Macaca mulatta: one gene and its partners. The protein of the gene in region 5 purifies or fractionates together with the protein of the main gene of each other region. This does not show direct contact. Links are inferred from orthologs where the notes say so. Each region holds a gene or a part of one and is shown on either strand. Other genes may lie near its edges. The genes, in order: SMAD7, USP9X, MAVS, CPSF6, ITCH, LAPTM5 and AMOT.

The links.
Region 1: the proteins of ITCH (region 5) and SMAD7 purify together in Homo sapiens (affinity purification with western blotting; 4 studies listed by BioGRID and IntAct, with this or other methods). This does not show direct contact. The link is inferred for Macaca mulatta from reciprocal best matches to the Homo sapiens genes ITCH and SMAD7.
Region 2: the proteins of ITCH (region 5) and USP9X purify together in Homo sapiens (affinity purification with western blotting; 3 studies listed by BioGRID, with this or other methods). This does not show direct contact. The link is inferred for Macaca mulatta from reciprocal best matches to the Homo sapiens genes ITCH and USP9X.
Region 3: the proteins of ITCH (region 5) and MAVS purify together in Homo sapiens (affinity purification with western blotting; 3 studies listed by BioGRID). This does not show direct contact. The link is inferred for Macaca mulatta from reciprocal best matches to the Homo sapiens genes ITCH and MAVS.
Region 4: the proteins of ITCH (region 5) and CPSF6 purify together in Homo sapiens (affinity purification with mass spectrometry; 5 studies listed by BioGRID and IntAct, with this or other methods). This does not show direct contact. The link is inferred for Macaca mulatta from reciprocal best matches to the Homo sapiens genes ITCH and CPSF6.
Region 6: the proteins of ITCH (region 5) and LAPTM5 purify together in Homo sapiens (affinity purification with western blotting; 3 studies listed by BioGRID and IntAct, with this or other methods). This does not show direct contact. The link is inferred for Macaca mulatta from reciprocal best matches to the Homo sapiens genes ITCH and LAPTM5.
Region 7: the proteins of ITCH (region 5) and AMOT purify together in Homo sapiens (affinity purification with western blotting; 3 studies listed by BioGRID). This does not show direct contact. The link is inferred for Macaca mulatta from reciprocal best matches to the Homo sapiens genes ITCH and AMOT.

The regions. Positions count from the first base shown.
Region 1 is NC_133423.1:43,377,159-43,381,224, forward strand, and holds the start of SMAD7 (mothers against decapentaplegic homolog 7), read left to right. Parts: upstream 1-1,266; 5' UTR 1,267-2,869; coding exon 2,870-3,482; intron 3,483-3,849; exon of another isoform or gene 3,850-4,027; intron 4,028-4,066. UniProt on the Homo sapiens protein: Antagonist of signaling by TGF-beta (transforming growth factor) type 1 receptor superfamily members; has been shown to inhibit TGF-beta (Transforming growth factor) and activin signaling by associating with their receptors thus preventing SMAD2 access.
Region 2 is NC_133426.1:41,117,346-41,120,781, forward strand, and holds the end of USP9X (ubiquitin carboxyl-terminal hydrolase 9X), read left to right. Parts: intron 1-1,332; coding exon 1,333-1,470; 3' UTR 1,471-2,936; downstream 2,937-3,436.
Region 3 is NC_133415.1:80,202,719-80,205,067, forward strand, and holds part of MAVS (mitochondrial antiviral-signaling protein), read right to left. Parts: intron 1,220-2,349; coding exon 684-1,219; intron 1-683.
Region 4 is NC_133416.1:76,357,354-76,361,323, forward strand, and holds the start of CPSF6 (cleavage and polyadenylation specificity factor subunit 6), read left to right. Parts: upstream 1-1,170; 5' UTR 1,171-1,254; coding exon 1,255-1,314; intron 1,315-3,970. UniProt on the Homo sapiens protein: Component of the cleavage factor Im (CFIm) complex that functions as an activator of the pre-mRNA 3'-end cleavage and polyadenylation processing required for the maturation of pre-mRNA into functional mRNAs.
Region 5 is NC_133415.1:87,291,546-87,294,086, forward strand, and holds the end of ITCH (E3 ubiquitin-protein ligase Itchy homolog), read left to right. Parts: intron 1-1,047; coding exon 1,048-1,147; 3' UTR 1,148-2,041; downstream 2,042-2,541. UniProt on the Homo sapiens protein: Acts as an Acts as an E3 ubiquitin-protein ligase which accepts ubiquitin from an E2 ubiquitin-conjugating enzyme in the form of a thioester and then directly transfers the ubiquitin to targeted substrates.
Region 6 is NC_133406.1:210,124,936-210,128,435, reverse strand, and holds part of LAPTM5 (lysosomal-associated transmembrane protein 5), read right to left. Parts: intron 1,117-3,500; coding exon 1,023-1,116; intron 286-1,022; coding exon 209-285; intron 1-208. UniProt on the Homo sapiens protein: May have a special functional role during embryogenesis and in adult hematopoietic cells.
Region 7 is NC_133426.1:119,532,664-119,536,163, reverse strand, and holds part of AMOT (angiomotin), read left to right. Parts: intron 1-736; 5' UTR 737-798; coding exon 799-1,670; intron 1,671-3,500.

The DNA of each region.
Region 1 (4,066 bases), on a different chromosome or scaffold from region 5:
TGAATATGAAGTGAGGTTAGATCACCATGCCAACCAGTGGCCTCATCAATACTGATGTGTGTGTATTTAAATAATTACGTTTCTCAGAGCCATCAGCTTTCACGCTGTATATGCGTTCATGCCCTAGCAATGCCATGCCCGTTTCTATGCAGTAACTCGCCAGCTTGAGTATATGTTTCTTCGGGACCTGGGGTCAAGGTATAAACTCTCTGACCCTAAGCACCTTGAAAGCTACGAGGCCCAGAAACAGGCCCTGCATGCAAATAAATGCCCTAGGCAGGTCTGCTCGCTGGGTAACCTTCCCGCGCCAGGAGGCAGGGTGGCTGGTGGCGGAGGTCTTCCGGGCCCGGGAGGAAACCTGCGGGCGGCGCGCAGGCGAGCCCCCGCCTCCCGCTCCCCTTCTCCCGCCAGGAGGCTGCCCCTCGCAGCTCGTCAGCCGGCCAAATGCATTCCATAGCTGTGCACAAGACACACTTCTCCAGGCAGTCCTAGAAACCGGAGCCCGGAGCGGAGAGGGCGGGAGGGAGCGCGCGGCCGCCGCTGAGGTCATATTCACGCCGCCTCCCCGCCCTCGGCGGCTGTTCCCCTCAGCGCACACTTCCCGGGGCCTCGGTCCAGTCCCGTATAAATGTCTTTTAAACCGAGACAGCGCTCTCCTCCCCTTGCCCTCCGGCGCGGCCAAGGGATCCGCCGCCAGGGCCTTTAAAACAAAACCAATGAATGAAGCGCTAGAGCGAGCGCGCGCGAGATGGCCACCGCGAAGCCCAGCCGGGTCGAAATCGGGCCACCGACCGGCTCTCTAAGCTCCAAAACTCGCAGCGAAGCCCGCTCGGTGCTCCCTGCTTTTCCAATTTCTCCATGGCTCCCGCCGGGGCTCAATCGATTCTGGGAGCTTCTCTGCCCCCCACCTCTCTCTCCCCTCCGTCGGTACCCCATCTACAGCCCCGGGAGGGGGTGGCGGTGGCGGGGGGTTGGGGGGAGAAATAGCTTTTAGAAACCCGATCTGTTGTTTGCGAAACACAATCGCTTTTTTTTTTTTTTTTTAAAGCGACAGGGTGTCTAGACGGCCACGTGACGAGGCCGGAGCCGGGCGCGCCACTGCGCAGTGGAACCAGCCGAGCAGAGGGCCGGAGGGGGGGTGCGGGGGGGCGGGGAGGAGGCGGCGGCGGCGGCGGCTGGGGGCGGGGGAGGGAAGGGGGAGGAAGGGGGAGGGAAGGGGGCGGGGGCGGGGGCGGGAGGCCTTGCGGGAGGCGGCGAGGTCTGGGCACACTCGCTTGCTGCTCGGCGCACTGAAGATCTTGTCCCCGAGCCGCGCCAGCCGAGCCAGCCGGGCGCCGTGCTCGGTCCGCTCGCCGCGCGGGAGAGAGCTGCCCGAGACAGAGCCAGTCCGCCGCCGCCGAGCCGCCGAACGCCCGGCCCCTGAGCCCCAGAGTGCGGCGCGGCGAGCCCCTGGCGGCGGCAGAAGGACCAGAGCGCCAGGAGAGGGCGGACCGGGGACAAGGAGGCTCCCGGGCGCGACGAGGAGAGTCTCGGAGGAGGAGGCGCCGAGAGGACACCGGGGCCTCCTGCCGCCGCTGCTGGGGCCAGGCGAGCAGCCCATGCGGGGACCCTCGGCGGGCAGCCGCGGCCAGGGGAAGGGACACCGGCGGCCCCCGCACTAGCAAGCAGCTTGTGCCCAGGGGGGGCGAGAACGCGCGACCCGCCTGGGGCCCTCCGCCGCCGCCGCCGCCGCGCCGCCCTCCCCCGCGCTGTCAGCCCCGCCGGGCTCAGCCGCCGCCGCAGCATCTTCTGCCCCTGCGCCCCCGCCAGCCTCGAGGAAGTCCCCGCCGAGGACCTGGGCCCCCAGGAGCGCAGGAGGAAAGACCAGAGACTCCCCTAAACCACCCAGATGCGCAGGATTGAAGCGGTCTAGCCAAAGCTTTCTGTGGATTAAAAAAATACACGATTTTTTTTTTTTTTGGCAGAAGGAGAGGAAGACCAGCGGGGCTTTGCAAGGAAAAAAGGGGGGGATGTAACTCGTGGATACATTTTTCCACCCCTCAAACATCTTGTTATACTTTGTAAACATTTTCTTTTTTTAAACCCCAGCTCCAGCCGGACGCCCCCAGACCTCAGAGGTTCGAGGAGGTGGTGTTTTTCATTTGGGGCTTTGCATATTTGGTTGTTAGGTTTTGCGAGAGCCTTCTTATTTCGCCAGACATCTCATGCGGGGTGAAGTCCACTCGGCCCCCTCCCCTGAGTCTTCGTGTGCACAGAATTCGAGGAGATCCGGTTACTAAGGATATAGAGAAAAAAAATAAATTGCGTGCTTGCTTTTTTTTTTTTTAATTGCCTGCTTCTCCCCACCCCCAAATTAAGTTGCTTAGCAAGGGGGAAAGAGGCTTTTTCCTTCTTCCAGCAGCCCAGCCGAACGCCTTTCGCTTTTTTGCCTCCGCGGACCTTCCATGTAGGAATCCGAGGCTGGCGAGCCCGACATTCGGGAGCCACTGCGGGGGGGCCTCTTTTTGGGGAGGCGCCGACGGGGGCAGGCTCGGCCGTCCCCAGGGAAGCGGCGGCCGGGTTCCTCCGGGGCGCGCCGGGGCCGGAGAGCCGCGCAGGGCGCGGGCCGCGCGGGGTGGGGCAGCCGGAGCGCAGGCCCCCGATCCCCGGCGGGCGCCCCCGGGCCCCCGCGCGCGCCCCGGCCTCCGGGAGACTGGCGCATGCCACGGAGCGCCCCTCGGGCCGCCGCCGCTCCTGCCCGGGCCCCTGCTGCTGCTGCTGTCGCCTGCGCCTGCTGCCCCAACTCGGCGCCCGACTTCTTCATGGTGTGCGGAGGTCATGTTCGCTCCTTAGCCGCCAAACGACTTTTCTCCTCGCCTCCTCGCCCCGCATGTTCAGGACCAAACGATCTGCGCTCGTCCGGCGTCTCTGGAGGAGCCGTGCGCCCGGCGGCGAGGACGAGGAGGAGGGCGCGGGGGGAGGTGGAGGAGGCGGCGAGCTGCGGGGAGAAGGGGCGACGGACAGCCGAGCGCATGGGGCCGGTGGCGGCGGCCCGGGCAGGGCTGGATGCTGCCTGGGCAAGGCGGTGCGAGGTGCCAAAGGTCACCACCATCCCCACCCGCCAGCCGCGGGCGCCGGCGCGGCCGGGGGCGCCGAAGCGGATCTGAAGGCGCTCACGCACTCGGTGCTCAAGAAACTGAAGGAGCGGCAGCTGGAGCTGCTGCTCCAGGCCGTGGAGTCCCGCGGCGGGACGCGCACCGCGTGCCTCCTGCTGCCCGGCCGCCTGGACTGCAGGCTGGGCCCGGGGGCGCCCGCCAGCGCGCAGCCTGCGCAGCCGCCCTCGTCCTACTCGCTCCCCCTCCTGCTGTGCAAAGTGTTCAGGTGGCCGGATCTCAGGCATTCCTCGGAAGTCAAGAGGCTGTGTTGCTGTGAATCTTACGGGAAGATCAACCCCGAGCTGGTGTGCTGCAACCCCCATCACCTTAGCCGACTCTGCGAACTAGGTGAGAAGTTGTCCCCTTACCCCCAGCATTTTCCGGCGCGCCAGTGCTGGAAGAAAAGCCCTTAGGGCAGTGCGTTTGTGCAGCCACCCCTCCAGGGGGAGTGTGCATCCCCTCCTGGGAGGAGACTGGGGGCCGAAAGTAGAGAAGGGACACGGGGAAACTCAAAGGGCATTCCCTGGGGTTTCCCTTCCAGGATTTCTCCTGTGTTGCCCCGAAGGGGTCTATGGGCACTGCTCCTGCACACAGTTTGCGGTTAAAAATTAGACGCCTTCATTTCCGGATCAACAAGGGGGTGCAGAGGGAGATGGGGGGGTCACGCCTCCCCGCACCCGGAAAGGCGTTGAGGTGTGTGACCGAGTTGGATTTGGTCCAGGCCCGCCAAGGAAGGCTGGGAGAAGCATGCTATAAAAAGGCTGGAAGGTCTCCGTATTTACTCCTTCAGTAAATAAGGAGAATCACGTCGAACACAAGTGGCCCAGACACTGTCGTGGCCGCGCAGCTTTGGAGTTTTGGGGCAAAGAGAGTTGGATGGAAGGCCGAACTGGGTATCTGTCTCATTTCAACTCTGCCAGCCCCAGGGTGCA
Region 2 (3,436 bases), on a different chromosome or scaffold from region 5:
GGTAGATTTCCATAGGTGATTAGCTATAAAGTAAATAAACTAGTAAATAAATAGCAAAAGAAATGAGATGAAGAAACATTCTAAATGAAAACTTTTTCTTTCTGAAACCGAAATGTGACTAAATCAGCTCTTGTGAGGCAATGGTACTCAAACTTGAACAGGCATGAGTCTGCTTGGAGGGCTTGCTCCAGCAGAGGGCTAGACGCTATCCCAAAGTGTCTGATTTCATAGGTCTTCAAGGGGCTGGAAAATGAACATTTCTAACAAGTTCCCAAGTGATGCTGCTGGTGGTCCAGGAACTATACTTGGAGAAACATTTCAGGCATTCTTTCTTACGTTTCACTGTGTACACAGAAGCAAACTGAATAGTTAGGAAGTACACATTCAGCATACGTATTTTCATCTGTAGAAATGGGCGCAGTAGCTCATGCCTGTAATCCCAGCACTTTGGGAGGCTGAGGCAGGCGGATCACCTGAGGTCAGGAGTTTGAGACCAGCCTGACCAACATGGAGAAACCCTGTCTCTACTAAAAATACAAAATTAACTGGGTGTGGTGGCGCATGCCTGTAATCCCAGCTACTCGGGAGGGTGAGGCAAGAGAATCTCTTGAAGCCAGGAGGTGGAGGTTGTGGTGAGTCGAGATAGCACCATTGCACTCCAGCCTGGGCAACAAGAGTGAACTCCATCTCAAAAAAAAAGTCTAGAATCTTGGCGTGGCTGATGGAGCATATACAGAAAAATGAGAGCACTGTAGGGTTCAGACATTTTAAAAGGTTAAGGAACCAAATCCACAAGGGAGGTTAACTTCCTTTGACCCTGAGAAAGCTCTTATGTTAATCATGCCTGGTTACTTTATCATCTTGAACATTGTTCTGTTTTTAATCAGCATTATTGTGAGTTCAGGGTTACTACTCCTGTATATCTTGTATCATGGTTAGTCAATTGGATTTAGCATGTGGAAGAGTCAATAGATGCTCATAGATTGTTTTCTGAACATTTTTTTACCAAGAGCAACAGTGGGTTAATCCTTTATTTGCCAGACTTGAGTCTAAATCATTTTGGCACTAAAAATCACTTTGGCCAAAGATGTATGTGGACCTACACAATCACTGCTCTTATTCAGGGTTTGGGGGTTTGCATTTACATTATGTTTTTCTCTTTCAAGCCTTTTTTTGTTTTTGTTTTTGTTCTTGCACAATAGTAGTCCAACGGTATTTACAGAGTAAGTCCCAAGAATAAAAGTTTACATTTCCAGAGACTTCAGACCATGATTTTGAAGTTGTTTTACTATGTGAAAAGTTTTAACATGCAGATCTCTTCTCCTTTCCCAGAATAACCATGTGCATGGACAGCCATATACAGGCCCAGCAGCACATCACATGAACAACCCTCAGAGAACTGGCCAACGAGCACAAGAAAATTATGAAGGCAGTGAAGAAGTATCCCCACCTCAAGCCAAGGATCAATGAAATGCACATAATTAACTGGTTCCATCAAGACTGTGCACCCAGGCCTTACAGTCCAACCTTTTTCTGTGTCTGGCTAATATTTAAAACTAGAAAAACTATTCCTAATCAACATGGAGTGGAGAGTTTATTCACTGTCTTATCTGCAGAAATTTGCTGTCAATATATAACCCGCCTGCAGTGGAAAGTGTATAGTGTTTTGTAATAAATGGCCTGATGCTAATGTGTAAATGGCAAAGGTGTATATAGTATATTAATGTTGACTGTTAATTCTTAAGCAAGAAACTTTTTTCTTGATGAGACTCACAGATCTACACAAACTACAAAAGTTAATTTTCTTGTTATACCCACTGCACTCTGCAACCAGTGTTGCCTGCCTCATGGCAGTTGGTTCAGCTCCTTTACAAAAAAACCCAACAGCAACAAAACAGAGCCCATTCATGTCAGCCACACCAATAGTTTCATGTTAATTCTTTGCCACTGGAGTCAATTTTGCTATGAGCAATGTGTAAGGCTGGTAACCTTTAAATTATTTGGTTGATGTGGAAAATTGGTGATGTAACACTGTTTCTAGATTTTTTTCATTGCCTTTTTATTCTGATATTAGGTTAATCACTTTGAAGCTATAGTTATGCTGTAACATTTAGCATGGCTTCACACCAAGTTAGTGTAGCCAGTGAGGAAAAAGTTACCATAATGACAGCAGTTGTCCGAGAAGTGACAGCTGTATTACTCAGAGCTTTTACTTCTTACACCTAGAATATTAAAATATAAAACAAGGCGAGAAATGTGACAAACAGGCTGTTTTCAGTTGCACATATGTTCCTTATGTATAATGTTTGACAGTTCAATCTCTGGGTGGGATAAAGAACACTTACGTATCAGTAATGGGAATTTTAAAAAATATAAAACAAATATGCAAAAATTTGCTATGCCAAGATGCTGGAGCATAATAGAAGACTGTATTTGGTGTGCTTGTTTTGTTTCTTTGGTAGAGTTTATTAGGTGAATCTTCTCAAACTTTCCTTCTGCTGGATCCCAGTGACGTGGAAGTCATCAGAACCCCACGATACTTGGAGTACCTCTCTGCACCAAGATAGCTGGCTGATTTTCTGCTCAGTCACAATTTTACTTGAAAGCAAGAATTGTCCTAGCTCCTCTTCCATTATTCCAAAAAGTTTAACGTTCAAAGCAGGGTCTCATTAAAAAAGAAACTACTGGTTAGTTAATATAATTGAGATATCACAATTTCAGAATAAACATTTGATTACAAATAAGGAACTCCTCAGTTCATACTGTATTTAAAAGAGAATTGGTAACTTGAATGTGTGTAATTTTTTGGAACCTGTCTAAAAACCAAATACCCTGCAAACAGATACAGCCCACCCTATTCTATTTAAATATTTTGCTGTTTTATTTTATAGAAATTATTTTGCTGAATTCACAAATAGAATTTGATTTAAGAAGAACTTTTTGTCCTGTGGTGTGTGTTTTTTTTTTTTTTTTTTTTTTTTTTGGTTACTTTTTTTGTCCTTTTTTTTCACAGAGGACTGCATATTAAAATTCATTCTGTGCATAGCATGCCTAGGCATGACACTGATTCAGGATTTCAGTCACACTGAGTTTTTGTGCACAGAAAGATTTGACCTTTGGCCCTTTACTGAAGATTTTGAGAAATCAGGATGTTGACACTGTAAAAGTTTCCTAACATAATCTTGTACTTTTTGTATGTTTTTTATATACATGTATATTTAATGAGCACAAGCTTGGTTGTATTTTTTACAATTCAGTTAATAGGGAAATGTTTTGTCAAAAGGCTACACTTGGAACTGAACAAAGCAGAAACAAAATTGAGCATTGCATTATTTTGTGATTAAAAGGGGCAGGTATTTAAGATAAAGCTTTGGGTATCTTATTTGTAGTACTCTGTGGTCAACCTGTGCTTCTAGGTGTTCCTGTAATAGTAGGA
Region 3 (2,349 bases), about 7.1 Mb from region 5:
CAGGCTTTCCCTATTCCCTGGCCTGCCTGTGAGCTCATGCCCACCTGGAAGCCCTTGGTAGGGCAGGGCCCCATCCTGCACTGACATCCTGCCTGGGCCTGAGAACTAGAGAGCAGCCACAGGGTCAGAGGCCTGGCCATGTGCCCATAGGGCCATATGGACTTGGCTCCTCCCAGCAGACAGCCACAGCTAGAGTCAGATGTGAGGCTTGGAGCAGGCAACAATGGGGGGCTGCTGGGTCATAGTGGCTGCTCAGGTGGGACTGCGTTCTGTAAAGCCTGGCCATGGAGGGGCACACCGGGCATCCTAGTGGCGAAGAGCAAGGCAAGAGGCAGATGGGCCACTGTGCTGTCCCCCTCACTGCTTCCTTATATTCTAAATGGCACTGTTCGGCTTCACTAGGAGCTACGAGCCTTAAATGAACTTATGCACCTGACCAGTGGGTGCCCCCTGTGGCTGACCCTCCTGAGATGTCCAGACTTAGGAGCTCTAATGACTGTTCCTCCTGGAGAACATGGTGTGGGGCCTACATGAGGCTGGTTCTGTATACCTGCAAGGAGAGGCCATAGAGCAGCCCAGGCTGGAGACAATGCAGACTGGAAAGGGGCCAAGGCTGGGGCCAGGTGGGCAAGCTCTCCCAGGGGAAGGGGCGTGGATCCCTGCCAGGAGGTGCAAGGACTTACCTCAGTTCTGCTGCTCCTGTCAGTGGGGACTGTGCTGGCAGACACCTTGGTGCGCACCATGCTAGCAGGCACTTTGGATGGCACCATGCCAGCACGGGTTGAGTTGATGGGCAATTTGGATGGTGCTGGATTGGTGAACACAGAAGGCACTGTACCAGGGGGCTTTGAGCTAGTTGGCAACTTGGAGGGCACTGTGCTGGCAGATGCTGGGTTGGCAGGCACTTTCGGGGCCACTGTGTTCACAGGCATCAAGGTGGTAGGCACTTTGGAGGGCAGAGAGTTGGCAGGTGCCTCTGCCCCACTGGAGCAGATGATAGGCTCAGCCTGGTCACTCTCTGCACCCTGTTCACCCTCTGCAGCCCCTGCAGAGGCCAAGCCAGGGGATGAGGAGGAGGAGGAGGAGGAGGTGCCAGTAGATACAACTGACCCTGCAGGTCCAGGCAAGCGGCTTGCCCTGGGGGTGGAACGGGCCAGGGGCTGGAAGGAGACAGATGGAGACACAGGCCCACGGGATGGTATGAGGCTGGAGGTTGCACCTGCAGGTGGCAAAACACAAGTGGAAACACAGACCCAAAGACCGTTACCTTGAGGCCTGGAGAAGGGTCCCTCTGCCCCAGGTTTCATGGTCCCTACTGTGTCTAGGCCTCCAAATCTCCTGCCCTTGAAGGAGATGCCACAGTCCCTTTAGTCACTGTTTCCTGGCCTGAAAGCCCAACAGCTGCCCTCAGTCCTTGACCTGTAGCCCCAGGTCTGTCCTGGCACACAGTGAAATGGTACCTAGGAACTTGAAGATCATTATTAATTATTCTCTCCGCTTTTTCCTCTCCCACCTAGGAAACCTCCCCTCTCCTGTGTCCACTTTTTCTACCTTGACCTTAGCCTCATGGAATCCTGAACACTTCCCCCATTGCTGTCCCTCTCCGACCACCACGAGTGGAAGCAGTCGTGGATCAGGGTGAGGGGTGGCAGGACGGCGCATGCAGAATGGCTCATACCAGCCAAGAGGGCTGGCCATCCCAGAGGCTTGGGAAGAGAGGCAACAGGGACAAAGCCACCCCTGGGAGGCTGCCTGACCTGGGTCGGGGAAGCAGGGGATAGCAGGTAGTGATGGTCTATAAAGGCAGTTGCAGCAGGACTCTCCACGGAACTCGGAATGCACATGCCAAGCCCCACAGCTGGCAAAAGTCAGGGTGATTCTGATGTACACCTCCCCCACGGCAATCTAATACCACAGAATCTCATGGGACCTGTGTCTACAAACATACTGAAACCTAAGTGCCCTCTGCCTGCATGGTCTACAGCAACTCCTGAAAGGCATCCCATGGCCAGATGACACTACAAAGCATAGACAGGTGCTTGGAGCAGTTTGGGGATGACAAAAGTACTAAGATGACGTCTCCCAGCCTTTAACTGCTCATTGTCTTGTGGCTGTCCCAGGGCACTGAGGGCTGACTGGGCACCAGCATCATGTGGAACAGTTTGGGAAGTAGGAAAGAGACATGCTAGCCTGAGAGGTCCAGATGGACAACTATATATTTCTGAGGGGGAGCACTGAGGTCTGGAGTTGGGTCCAGGCCACTGGATGATGAAGAAGTCTGGGAACTGAGAAGTTTTCATGATTCACTGGGAACTGGAGATCTCTGCGGTAAGGCAGTGCCTAAAGGCT
Region 4 (3,970 bases), on a different chromosome or scaffold from region 5:
GATTATGTCATACAATATTTTTAGTTATTTTGAGTTTTGATTGCATTTTGACTGCAACCTGGCACATAAGATCAGGTGTGGAATTTTTCACTTGCGGCATCATGTCAGTGCACAAAAAGTTTCAGATTTTGGAGCGTTTCAAATTGTTGGATTAGAGATGCCCAACCTTACAGATGTTGTTTGGGTTATTCTATGGATGATTTCTCGCCAGTTTCTCAGGAAACACGCTCTACTATAGTATATTTCTTAATGAGTGAAAAAGAAATAAAGAACGGAGGGGAAAGTTTCAAACTGGAGAGACATCCTTGAGTAAAGTATCGTGGCTGAATGTTCCTACCTTTATTGACCATGTGACCTGGTTAAATCACTTAGGTTCTATTAGGCTTCAGTCTTCTCCTCTGTAAAATGAGATGTTTGGACCTAAGGACACCTTTCCAGTTCCCTTCCCGCTGGGACATTCTAGGATTCTGAGAAAGAAGCCCCTGGCCTCAAGAGACCTCCACTCTCTTGGGTGTGCTCTAAGATGACTGCATTCATTTTAGAAGCATCTGAACTATGCCAGAGACAACCTACTGTAGATCTAAGGAAGAAAAAATGAAGGGCAATGAATGCGAGAAGAAGGGGAGAGGAAAGAAGCCCATGAAGATTAGAGATGGAAATGGCAACATAAACAGCGTGCAAATATAACCACTGACGGGTATCTAGCGTTTACATGCAAATAAAATTCTGCTTGTCTCTGAGGATGCAGAAACAACACATTGTTTTTGGCCTTAAGCCGCTCACAGAATGCCCGGGGGTTACACTTTGTATTTAACCATGAACATATAACTTCCACCTTTAGAAGTCCTGCATGTGTGAAAGGTAAGAAAAACGGATAAATGAAAATATTAACAAAACGTTTGAGTATGGCAGAGGCCACGTGAAAAGACGATGTGTGGAAACAGGTGGGACCCACTGGTAAACTGGATGCGCGAGGAGGACAAAGAAATTGCCCCCCACTCCCGGGCCTCACCCAGACACAAAAGAAACGCCCTCTGCCCTTAGAGGAGCAGCCTTTCCTCAGCCAGCCGAGCGGCTGGGTTGCACAGTCCCCGCCCCCGGCCGGCCCCTGTCGCTCCCGCCTCCATCCCTCGGGCCTCGGAAGTGACGCAAGCGCCCCCCACCGCCGCTAGATCCGCTGCTGCTGCCGCGGCGGGCGGACCTGCAGGAGGAGGCGGCGGCGGCGGCGGCGGTGGCGGCCGAGGCTGAGGGAAGATGGCGGACGGCGTGGACCACATAGACATTTACGCGGATGTGGGCGAAGAGTTCAACCAGGTACGTGAGAGCCCGGGTCCCCGTCGCCCATGCGGGCGGCGCTGCGGCTGGGACGCTGACCCGGGGCCCGCTGCGGCCGCGAGCCGAAGCGACTGCAGACTATGCGCCCTTGCCGCCTCTGGGCCGCGCCGCCGACCCCCGGCGTGGCGGCCCCCCCCCCGCCCTTCGTTCTACCGCGTCGTTTCACGGGCCGCGGGCGCGGCGACCCGTCGCGGGGCCCGGAGCGCGGATGCGGGCGGCTGTGCAGCTGCCGCCGGCTCCTCCCTCGCCGGCGCTGCCTCGCTCCCTATTGTTGGCGGCACCCGGCTGGCGCTTCCCGCCGCGCTAGGCCCGGGCGGTGGGGCCGCGTGTAAGCGGCGGAGAGAACTGGCCACCGCCGCGCCCCCTCCCCCGTCGCCGGCCGGAGGAGGAAGCCCCGGCAGGGCGCGCGCCCGCCGCCGCCGCCCCTTCCCCGCCGCTGCCGCTCGGGCTCAGATTCCTCCCATTGCTCCATTTTGTCTCCCTACCCGCGCACTATCGCCTCATGGAAGGCCGCATTCACGGCCCTTTGTATCCCGCGCGCCCAGTCCCTGGGGCTCTCCTCGGGTTTGCGACAGGTTTCGGCGTGGCGCCTTCCTCCTCCCTTCACACTTTCTGAAGGCGGCTGAGGTGCAGGCTTGTTTGCAACAAGTCATTTGACTTTTGGAGCCACAGATAAAAGTCGGTGCGCTGGTCCTGCCTTGTTAATCCAGGGCTTGCAATGCCTTTGAAGCCCAGTCGTTTTTGGCCTTTGTTATGAAAATACCTGTGAAGATGGGTGGCCGGGGACCTAAAGGAAGATTGGAAGCGCGATGTTTGGATGGAACAAAAAGATGTTAGCTCACCCACAGGTCTCATAGTGATTAAAATGAAAGAACGTTCACCCCAAATCCTATGATGTGGTTTAAAAATAGAGTTGTAGATAAGACCCTGTTTTCGAAAACAAAGTGTTAAATCCCCCGGCCCTGCATTACCTTTTGAAAGGTTGAGCGAAAGTGAGAATGCAAGGTTTTCCTGAACGACGTTGCTTAGAGGTAACGCGGAGCTGTGATGTCTGATAATGGGCATCCTTGCAAAAGATGTCGTTTGTTGCTAGAGTAGTGACGTTTAAGGTTTGAACCTGCTGGTCGTATCTTTACTGCATTTTATGTAGTAACACATTTAAAACAAATTGTGCCTAACTGCCGTGTTCCTAAAAGCTTTATTTTTTTGTATTCCCCAGGTCCTTATGAGAAGCTTAATAAAATAATACTGGCTTAATGTGTTTTTTTCCCCCTCCATTAACTGTCATATTCGTGACTAGTTGCTCAGGCTTTTTAAAAACAAGGAAACTCAGGAGCTCTTTACTGTTTTATTTTTCAGGAATGACTTTGTTCTGGTTTAAATATTAGAAAACAGAAAACTACTAGTTGGCTTTAAATGTTTGCTACTCCGTTGAAGACTGGATTTGTTTAAATGTAATACATTGTAATGAAAGGTTAAGTTTTTAAATTTTTGTGTTTTTAAAATTGTGCTTGTTTTAAATAATAATGCTTGAATTGTGTCAGTTACAAATCAGATACATTCCTCGACTGCAACACAGATTCTAACGCTTATAAGACCTCTAGGAAATTTTTTTCCTTTTATTTATCAAGTGAATGTAACAGTGCGTTTAGAAGAGGGCCGTAACTGCAAGGAACAACGATTAAGTGTTCAAGGCTGCCCTTGTTAGCTTTTCTTACAAGAGAATACTTTGCTTCACCTTTCTATGCACAATAAAAGAAGAATTGGGACACAATTTTAGAAGTTAAACTTTTTTCAGTACCTCTTAATGAAATATGTTTGGGCTTTTGCATTCTTAATTTGAGAGGGACATCTCCCTTTTCCGGATAGCTGGGTGGATTGTTATCCCTGTGCAGTAACAAGTGCTGACTGGGTGGGAGGTAAGAAGAGATTAGTTTTGTGGACCCAATGAGGGACTCCTTTTAAATGTAACTTTTCAACGATTTGTATAAGGTACGTACCACATATCTAACACAGTTGTATAATTTTGCCAGTAAGATCTTTATATGTTTGAATAGATTGATGGCGAGGATACATAGAGGCATTGTTTTTGCTACTTTGCATATCGTTGGCCAATCAATGATTGATTGATTTGTATATCTTTTTGCAGTACCACTGCTTGCTGTGGTTGTTCCTGTACCAAAAAAAAAAAAAAAGTCACAAAAGGATAGTTGGTTATTTTCAGAGCTTATCCTGCTTTTAAAAATGTTACTGTCATTGAAATGTTTTTCCAAAATTTTGCCACCATTAGAGGCAACCACAAAATAATTTACAACTGATTTAATCTTTACTAGCTGGTGACCTTATTTCTACTAGTTGCTATAGTAGACTTGACCTCTTGTTTTATTGTTGAGTAAAATACTTTCCTAAGTATTAGCCAGTTTTGACTTATTTTGGCTTCAAAACTGTTGTAAACATTAAAAAAAAACTTTGTTTTCCAGTGTAAACTGCAGTTCTAATTGGATTTGTGTACTTTGAAATTCGGCATAGTCTTTATTTCCATTTTCTACTATTTTTTTGTCTGTATCCTGCTGAGTCTCATATTTTAAATGTCATACTTTTATGAAGCTTGTTTGTATTTTGGTAAGGTACAATA
Region 5 (2,541 bases):
TCCTCCCCACTCCCATCCATGGAAAAATTGTCTTCCGCAAAACCATTCCCTGGTGCCAAAAAGGTTGGAGACCACTGCTTTAAACAATGACTCCCCATGACTCCCTTTCCCCAGGTCCTGGCAAACATCATTCTACTACTGTTTCTATGATTTTTGACTGTCTTTAGTACTTTATAAGTGTAGAATCATATCTTATTTGTCCTTTCATGACTGGCTTATTTCACTTAGAATAGTATCTGTAATTTTCATCCATGTTGTAGCATGTGTCAGCATTTCCTCCTTTTTAATGCTGAATAATATTTGATAGTCTGAATATACTACATTTTGTTTATACATTCATCTGTCCATGGACATTTAGATTATTTCCACCTTTTGGCTGTTTATGCTGCTATAAACATATGTATACTGTGGTAGAATATAGATATATCTGTCCATGGCCCTGCTTTCGATTGTTTTGGGTATATACCCAGAGGTGGAATTCCTTGATCATGTAATAATTCTATTTTTAATTTTGGGGGGGAATCTCACCATACTGTTCTCCATAGTGACTACACTGCATTATAGTCTTACCAGTAGTGTAGAGGGGCTCAAATTTCTCCACATCCTCATATCCTTTTCAACTCTTGTTTTCTTCTGTTTTTTGTTGTTGTTGTTGTTGTTTATTTTTTTGTTTGTTTTAAATAATAGCCATCCCAATAGGTGTGAAGTGGTATCTCATTGTGGTTTTTATTTGCATTTACCTAAGGATGTTGAGCATTTTTTTCATGTGCTTATTGGTCATTTGTATGTCTTTGGAGAAATCTCTATCCTTTGCCCATTTTAAAATATTGTTGAGTTTTAAGTTTTTTATATATTTCGGATACCAGTCCTTTATCAGATATATAATTTACAAATATTTTTTCCCATTTTTGGGTTATTTCACTTTCTTAATGGTATCCTTTGAAGCACGGTAGTATAATTTTGTGCTTCTATAGTAGTGTTATACTACACTACTCATTTGATTCTTTGCATATTTCCTTTTCTAAAACTAACAATTCTTGCTTTTAGTTTTAATCGCCTGGACCTTCCACCATACAAGAGCTATGAGCAACTGAAGGAAAAGCTGTTGTTTGCCATAGAAGAAACAGAAGGATTTGGACAAGAGTAACTTCTGAGAACTTGCACCGTGAATGGGCAAGAACTTATTTGCAATGTTTGTCCTTCTCTGCCTGTTGCACATCTTGTAAAATTGGACTATCGCTCTTTAGAGAGTTATCTGAGTGTAAGTAAATTAATGTTCTCATTTAGATTTATCTCCCAGTGATTTCTACTCAACATTTCCAGAAATCAGGTCTGCAAATGACTAGTCAAAACCTTGCTTAATATGAGATTTTAACACAACAACGAAATCTGCCTTGTCTTATTCCACTAGTTTGTTCCTTTAACAACAATTCTGTATATGTGTCAAAAGTCTCACTTGGGAGTAGTTTTTTTTCTCTTAGAGATTCTGCAGATATACAGGGAAGTCCTTTGGTAACTGCAATATACAAGATCTGCCTATTTAACCTCTTGGTAAGAGGCATTTGTTAAAAGTGGAAGCTTAGCCCAGCTTCTGGGGATGTGAGCAAAATTCTGGCTTGTGTTCTCCCTCTCATTTTAGTCTGACTTGACTATTGTTTTTCCTTTCTGGAGCATGAATCCATACATCATTCCTGGAAGTGATGCAAGACTCTTGCATCTCTACAAAGTAGTTTTGTCAATTTGAATTCAGGGAAAAGTTCTTCACAGCCTACAAATGACTTCATTTGGAAGTTTGATTGTTTCAGTTACCTGGCAAATATTACACTTTACAATGTTAACACTGTGATTCCTTCATTGTTTTAAGAAGTTAACCTAGGGCCGGGCATGGTGGCTCATACCTGTAATCCTAGCACTTTGGGAGGCCGAGGCAGGAGGATCCCTTTAGCCCAGGAGTTCAAGACCCGCCTGGGCAATATAGGGAGACCCTGTCTCTTTTGGGGAAGGGTAGGGGGAGAAATAAATAAATAAAAGGAAAAAAAAAGTTAACCTAGAATTAGAATTAATTTAACTGAATTCATCTAAGGATGTCACTGGTGATTTTTATATGTTCCTCTACATAATTGATGCTTTATAATTTTATCATAATCCAACAACTTCATTTATATTTAATTGTTAAGGAGTTTAAGACTAGAAAGACTAGAGTGTTTTCTAGTCCAAATAGAGGTCAGTGAAACAGCTTTTGACATCAAATTTTCATTTGAGAGGAAAGCTGTGGTACTGGCTAAAAACAAAGGAAGATAACATCCAGTAACCACAGGAATATATTCTCTGTGAATTAAAAGTCTTCAAAGTTACCATTTCTCTGACATATGTTGGAGTAGTCATTTCCATTCTTTACATTGTCATGAACTGGATTGATACCCCTCATCTGCCATATTCTTTTTACCCCTAAAATTTTTAACAGGGTTTCCTTTTTTTCTCATGACTATTTAAGTTTAGATTGCTCCATTATTAACTGATTAATGCACTTTGAAGTTCTCT
Region 6 (3,500 bases), on a different chromosome or scaffold from region 5:
GGCTCATGTTACCAGGGAACCAAGGTCACCAGCCCAGGGAATCTCAGGGAGAAACATGGTTCGCCAAAAGGTAAATGTGAAGATCTCCAGCATGCAGGTGGGACCTCCGAACACACCCGCCTCCCCCCCGTCTCGGCACCCAGCACTGCCCATCAGCGGGTGTGAATAACAGGAAGGGGCAGGGGCAGCGGGGCTCCCGAGCCCTCACCTTGACCACACCGATCAGCAGGCTCAGGCTGATGACGAAGAGCATGGCGATGAGCATGAAGCTGGAGATCAGGTCGGCTGAAAGGCAAGGAGAGCAGTGAGGCGCTCAGGCGTACCCCCAGCACCCAGCCAGGCTCCCAGGAAGACACTTCGGGAACCACTGGTTTGGGGACACGAGGGTGCACAGGAAAGCCCAGGCCCTGCCCTCACGCAGTCCTCAGTCTGGAGTGGGTACAACGACAAAAGCAGAACATCACGCGTAGCACAAGGTGGATGCGACAGAGGGTGTTGGGCTGGAGGTGCAGGCTGGGGTCCACTTCAGCCAGGGTGAGGCCGAGGAAGGCATCCCTGGGGAGTGGCCTGAGAGCAATGAGGAGTCGGCCTGAGACAGGGACAAGGTTGCTGAGGTCAGTGTGGCTGAAGCAAGGTGTGGGCTGAAGAATTGCAGGGAGATGCTGTCAGAGAAGTGGGCAGGGGCTGGGTCCCATGGTGAGGAGTTTCCATTTTATTCTAGTGTGATGAGCAGCCACTGACAGCTTTAAGCAGAAGAGTGAGGCTGTCACCTTTACCAGCTGGTGGGGGTTTGCAAAGTGCCATTCCATCTGCTCTCACCACCTGCATATGTGGGTGGGGTCAGGTGGAACATCCCCATTTGCAGATGAAACAGCCGAGGCCCCAAGAAAGGAAGACACTTGCCAGAGGTCATCCATCGTCCATGGAGAGGTGACAGGGCCTCCAACCCCAGCCTGGCTATCCCCAGCCAGGGCTCCCTGTCCTCCTCCCGCCGCCACTCCTCCGGCGTCCCCTGGACCTACCGATCCTGAGGTAGCCCATCTTCGAGAGCTTGCAGGACGCCTTGCCATGGGCCACCTCTATGGAGTGCTCGATGAACAACAAGACGCTCATGATCTGGAGGCAGAGCAAAGCGTCAGTCAGCTGAGCCTGCATCACGGCCCCCCGACCAGCTCTTCCCACCTTAGTGGTGTACAGCAGGGAAGCCAGTAGTGAGGATCCTGGAGTGGATGGCATGCCAGGTCAGTAGGGCATCCCAGACAAAAGAGTGGCCTTTACATAGAAAGCCCATGCTCAGAATCCTGGGTCTTCCTCTCTCCAGCTGTGTGACCCTGGACAAGCTACTTGACTTCTATATGCCTTGGTTTGCCCATCTGCAAGATGGGGATAATATTAGTAACTTCCTTAGGAGGCTGCCGTGAGAAGTAAATGAGACTATCCCAGGAGATCCCTTGGGCCCGGCTCTCAGTAAGAGTGGTAACTGTTACTACTGAAGGTCAGGCTTAAAGGGGTGGGGTGGGGGGTAGAAGTTGAAGGCCCCTCCACTGCACCCCCTTCTCTAACAACAGGCTCTGGGGATCAGAGAGCATCATAGAGCTTCAGGTTCCCGGAATCATCAACACAGGCCCGGGAGGGCCCTGGAGAGCATCTAACCCTGAATCCCTGTCTCCCATGGCCCCTCAGGGAATAATAACATCTTCCTCATAGGATTGTGGTGGAGCCAGATGGGATAATTCACTTAAAGTACCTGGCAGATAGTAAGCACTCCATCTGTGCTATTATTATTACCGTTATCCCCACTTGACTGTAGGTTCCAGGCAGGGAAAGCTTGTGTGTGTCTTTGTTCATCCCCCTAGCTGTTGTATTTGTTGAATGAATGAATGAATGAATGAATGAATGAATGAATGAACAAATGAACCCCACGCTCTCAGAGGACCGTTGCTAAGAATGATGGGGAAGGGGCGAATCTGATAGGCCAGAGTGTTGGGGTGGACCTAGAAACCACTGAAATTCAGCCACAAAACTGCAGTTTGAAAGAACCTTGGAGATCACCTTGTCCATGCCTTCCACCAGCCAGTGCAGGAATCCTGTGCCATGCAGCCTCTGCTGAAGTGCTTCCAGCCATGGGGAACTCACAACCTTACGTGTGTCCATGTCCTTGCAGCAAGCCCTCCACCCTTCCCCTACGACACACATGCAGTTCTCCTCTGCCCATATAAAGAACAAGAAGACTCTCCCCTCCCTTCTAGTGGGTGCCCTATCTCTATTAATATGGCCCTAAGTTTACATTGGCTTTCTAGGCAGCCCTGCACTGGTAACTTATGCTCAGCTGACAGGCAACCAGCTACCCACCATCTGTTTCCCCCTTGCTGACTGTGTGGGTTTGTTTTTTGTTTTTTTTTTTTTAGCTCAGACACAGGTCTCAACTTGTCTTCCTGCCACATTACATCCTGTTTATGGGCGTGGAAAGGGACTGAACAGAAGAGTGATGAAGAGCTGGGCTCCAGATCAAGAGGGATTTGAATCCAGATCACTGTGTGACCTTGGGCAAGTCTCTTAACCTCTCTGAGTTGCCTCATCTGGAAAATTGCAATCGCTGGATTCAGTGAAGATTAAATTGCATTATACTTACAAAACCCTGAGCTCAGGGACTGGCAGGGGGTGCCCAGCAAACAGAATCTGCTTTTGGCTGGGGCAAGCTTACGTGGTTGGGCAGTAGTACCAGGAGCATGGTGCATGCTCTAACTGCCCCCTCTAGCTGCTGGAGAGTGAGCTGGAAAGGCTTTGTCTCATCATGAAAGTCGAGAGCACCCTGAGCAGAAGGCAGGTGTGGTGAGGGCTATGGCTAACACTCAGAGGAAACAGCCCTGAGAGAAAAACTCCTTCCTCAGTCCCTAAAGGCCAAGCCGCAGCCCCTCTCCTCTCAGTTTCACCTTGAACGAGAGAAAGAGAAAGGGAGGCAGATGACAGCTCCATCCAGCACAGAACGGGGTGTCCTGTGAAGTGGTGAGCTCCCCGTTCCTGGGAGTATGTAAGCAGATCACAGATGAGTCACAGCTGGGCTTAGAGAAGGACCATGAGCATCAACCAGCTGTGAAACGAGAAGACTTTCAAAGTGTCAAGATTCCAGGAGTATCTGAGATCTGGAACAAAGCCTAGAATCAGATCATCTCAACCTCCCCTTGCTAGAAGGAGCCTACCTCTACTTGTTTTATAAGCTCCCTCTGCTTGTTTTATAAACTCAGAGAGATTAGGTGGCTTGCCCAAGGACACACAGCAAGTTGAGTGGGGGATCCCAAGTCTCCCAGTGCTATTCTGATGCCTTCCCATTCCCCTGACCCCCAAAATGCCTCAGAGCCCTGCTAGCCTGAACCCTGGGGAGGACTTAGATGTTTTCATCATGCACCTATGTCAGTAAAACCTTTTGAACACACGCCTCTATCTTCCTTTCTTTCTAAATTACATGAATGTGTTACTGTCCTAGTTTATCATGAACATCA
Region 7 (3,500 bases), on a different chromosome or scaffold from region 5:
CTTTAAGCTTCTCCTACCCAATAACAACAACAACAAATCTCGATGACTATTTCGGGAGGGCTGAAAGGCAACTTTGTCAGTAATAAGTATTCCAAGTCCTTCTCTTATTAAGCCAAGCAGCATCCAAAATGGACACTACAAAAATGATTTTTTAAAAAGATGTTTCAGAGCCTTATGAGATCAGAGAAAAAGATTTGCATCGAGGCAGGGATCATTACTATCTGGTGCAAGCCAAGCTCTCTTCACCTTTTATTTATTTGAGTCTTTATTTTGCATTTTGTAGCTCGCTTCATATGCTGAGCTGCTTTACAAATCCTGTTATGGGGTAATTTTCCCCACTGTCCTGCCCCCACCTCCACAGTAATAAGATTTGGGTTTTTACCTTAAATAGAATACAGAGAGATGAAGCCTGTGAATATGGACCTTGAAAAGTTACCCGCTTTAATTACCCTACTTGACTGTTCCAGGTTTCTCAAGCATTCTTAGGAGTTAAGTCCAGATTGAATATTTAGCTCATGCTAAAAGTGAAAGAGGAAGCCTAGAGCTCTTATGCCTCCACTTTCCTCATCATATCAGTGCTAGGGCCTGGAATCCCCAAAAATCTATTAATTTTAGGTTAAATTCTCTACTTTGTTTCTGCAATAGAATCCTCACCCTCCAATATCCATTTTCATTCCCTTTAGAGGACTAATTTATCCATCAACTGGGTGTTAAGCTTCCTGTTTCCCCTTCCCAGGTCAAGGGCAGCCCAGGTGCCCAATTTCTCTCTCTCTTCACAAGGCACCACCAGCAATAGAGATGAGAAATTCTGAAGAACAGCCAAGTGGAGGGACCACAGTATTGCAGCGTTTGCTACAAGAGCAGCTTCGCTATGGCAATCCTAGTGAGAATCGCAGCCTACTTGCCATACACCAGCAAGCCACAGGGAATGGCCCTCCTTTCCCCACTGGCAGTGGGAACCTGGGCCCTCAGAGTGATGTGTTGAGTCCCCAAGACCACCACCAACAGCTTGTGGCTCATGCTGCTCGACAAGAACCCCAGGGGCAGGAAATCCAGTCAGAAAACATCATCATGGAGAAGCAACTGTCTCCTAGAATGCAGAATAATGAAGAACTCCCGACTTACGAAGAAGCGAAGGTTCAGTCCCAGTACTTTCGGGGCCAACAGCATGCCAGTGTTGGAGCTGCCTTCTATGTCACTGGAGTCACCAACCAGAAGATGAGGACCGAGGGACGCCCATCAGTTCAGCGGCTCAATCCTGGAAAGATGCACCAAGATGAAGGACTCAGAGACCTTAAGCAAGGGCATGTCCGTTCCTTGAGTGAACGACTAATGCAGATGTCACTGGCCACCAGTGGAGTTAAGGCCCATCCACCTGTTACCAGTGCTCCCCTCTCCCCACCACAACCCAATGACCTGTACAAGAATCCCACAAGTTCCAGTGAATTCTACAAGGCCCAAGGGCCACTTCCTAACCAGCATAGCCTGAAGGGCATGGAACACCGAGGCCCCCCACCAGAGTATCCCTTCAAGGGCATGCCACCCCAATCTGTAGTGTGCAAGCCCCAAGAGCCAGGGCACTTCTATAGTGAGCATCGCCTGAACCAGCCAGGGAGAACAGAGGGGCAACTGATGAGGTATCAGCATCCCCCTGAGTATGGAGCAGCCAGGTAAGAGAGTTCTCTTTCTGTCATTTCCTGACCTCATCCCCAACCAGCTTCTGCTGTGTGTTGGGAATCTTAGGGAGGGAATGGGCAGCTGTTTGGTATAACAAACTCTGCAATGCATGACAGGCTTCTGGCTTAGAGAATTGCCTGCCAACCTGAATTTGTAGCCTCTGTAGCCATGATTAGCACTGTATTAACAATCCCTTAGCTTTGTAGGTTGAGCGTGGCCTCAATGGCCTAGTGGATGAACAGGAGCAAAAGTCTTGATTTCAGCGGCTATTCGCTGTCCTGTCTCCTAGGATGTTGAAGAAGGGGTCTGTGTTTCTCATAAACCCTCCTTGAGAAGTAGAAGCAAATTACCTTGCACTTTAATTAGTCTGGAACATCCTATCACTTGCACATATTCCCCTCCATGAAGTTCTCATCATTTATTTTTGCAAACAAATCTGTGTATTTCTTGTCAGTTAGCATTTTTCCATAGAATTACCATTATTCTTTTGGACACTAAACAAATACCCAGATGTTATGGTGGGGGAGCTATGTATGTATGTAGGTTCAGAATGTTACTTGCCTTATGCTTGCAGTTTATGAAATCTGGACTGTTGTATCTTTTTTTGGTAGAAAATTTATTAGTTGCCTGTCACATTTTTAAACCTTTGAGTTAAATTCCCATCACATCATATAGAAATTGTAGTCAGATGCTAAAATACAGAAGGAAAAATAGTACCATTTCTGTCTTATATACTTAGTTGTTCCTATATATACTTCTTAATTATTCAGAGGTCCTTTGTCCCACTGCTATATTCACTAGATCTTATGATTCTATGATTCTGTTCATTGTTCCTGTTGTTAGTATTTGGGCCATGTCTCTGATCAGTAGTATTTCAACATATAGGGCAGGAGAAAAGGTTTAAACTGTGGGCACCAATGGTGGCATTTAAGTGTGGCATCCTGCCCCATGACCGTGAGTAATGATGGGTGGCCATCAGGTGTGAAGTGCTTGGTCCTAGGCTGGCCTTCATCTATATGCAGCTCACAGACTAGGTCTGTGATGTCCTTTGATGTCTACCTCTTTGTCTCCTGTACCCTACTTGCTTATTTTGGAAAAAACCTTCTGGCTTGAAGTTCATTGAGTGACTCAGGAGAGAAGGCAGTCATGGGGTGGAGTAGGGTGAAAGTAAGAGAAGGCACCTAGCATTTCCTGGTATTTCTTTGTTTTGCCCTCCAGGTCCTGTTTTTTTTAGCCAGAGGCAGTTCGCTTTGGGCTCCACCCCTAACATTGCCAGTTTAGGATTTTTTTTTCCCTCTTAACCCAGGTTGATTTCCTAACCCTTCAACCTCCTCTGTGCAGCTTTCAAAGCGCAGGAGCCTATGTTCTGATAAGTGTCTTGGAACAGGAAATGGGGTAACCGACAGGGCCACTCAGGTTTAAAAGAGATCAGGAACCAGATTCCCATCTGACCAATGAAACGGAAGACCCGGGGAAAGGTTGATCTGTTCAAGACTGCTTCACTTAGTGGAAACCCATTCAAGCCAGCAAAATATCAATGAAGCTGGGGGTTTCTGTTTTACTTTTCCCGTCAGTATGGAAGAGTCTGTTGATGGGCTGACGTCTGTTGCCTTGTGGGAGGGGAGTGTGTTGGCTGGGGTGTGGAGCAGAAGCCACAGCCCCACTCAGCACACAGCCCGCCTTCCTAGGAAAGCTATTTTCAGAACTCATTCACCAGTATTGTTTGTGATCTGAAATGACTCCCACAGTGTTTGAAGCTAGATGGAAAAGCCCTTTGATCTCCCTAAATAAATAATAGGGAGCCCAAAGAGGGTTTTTTTTTT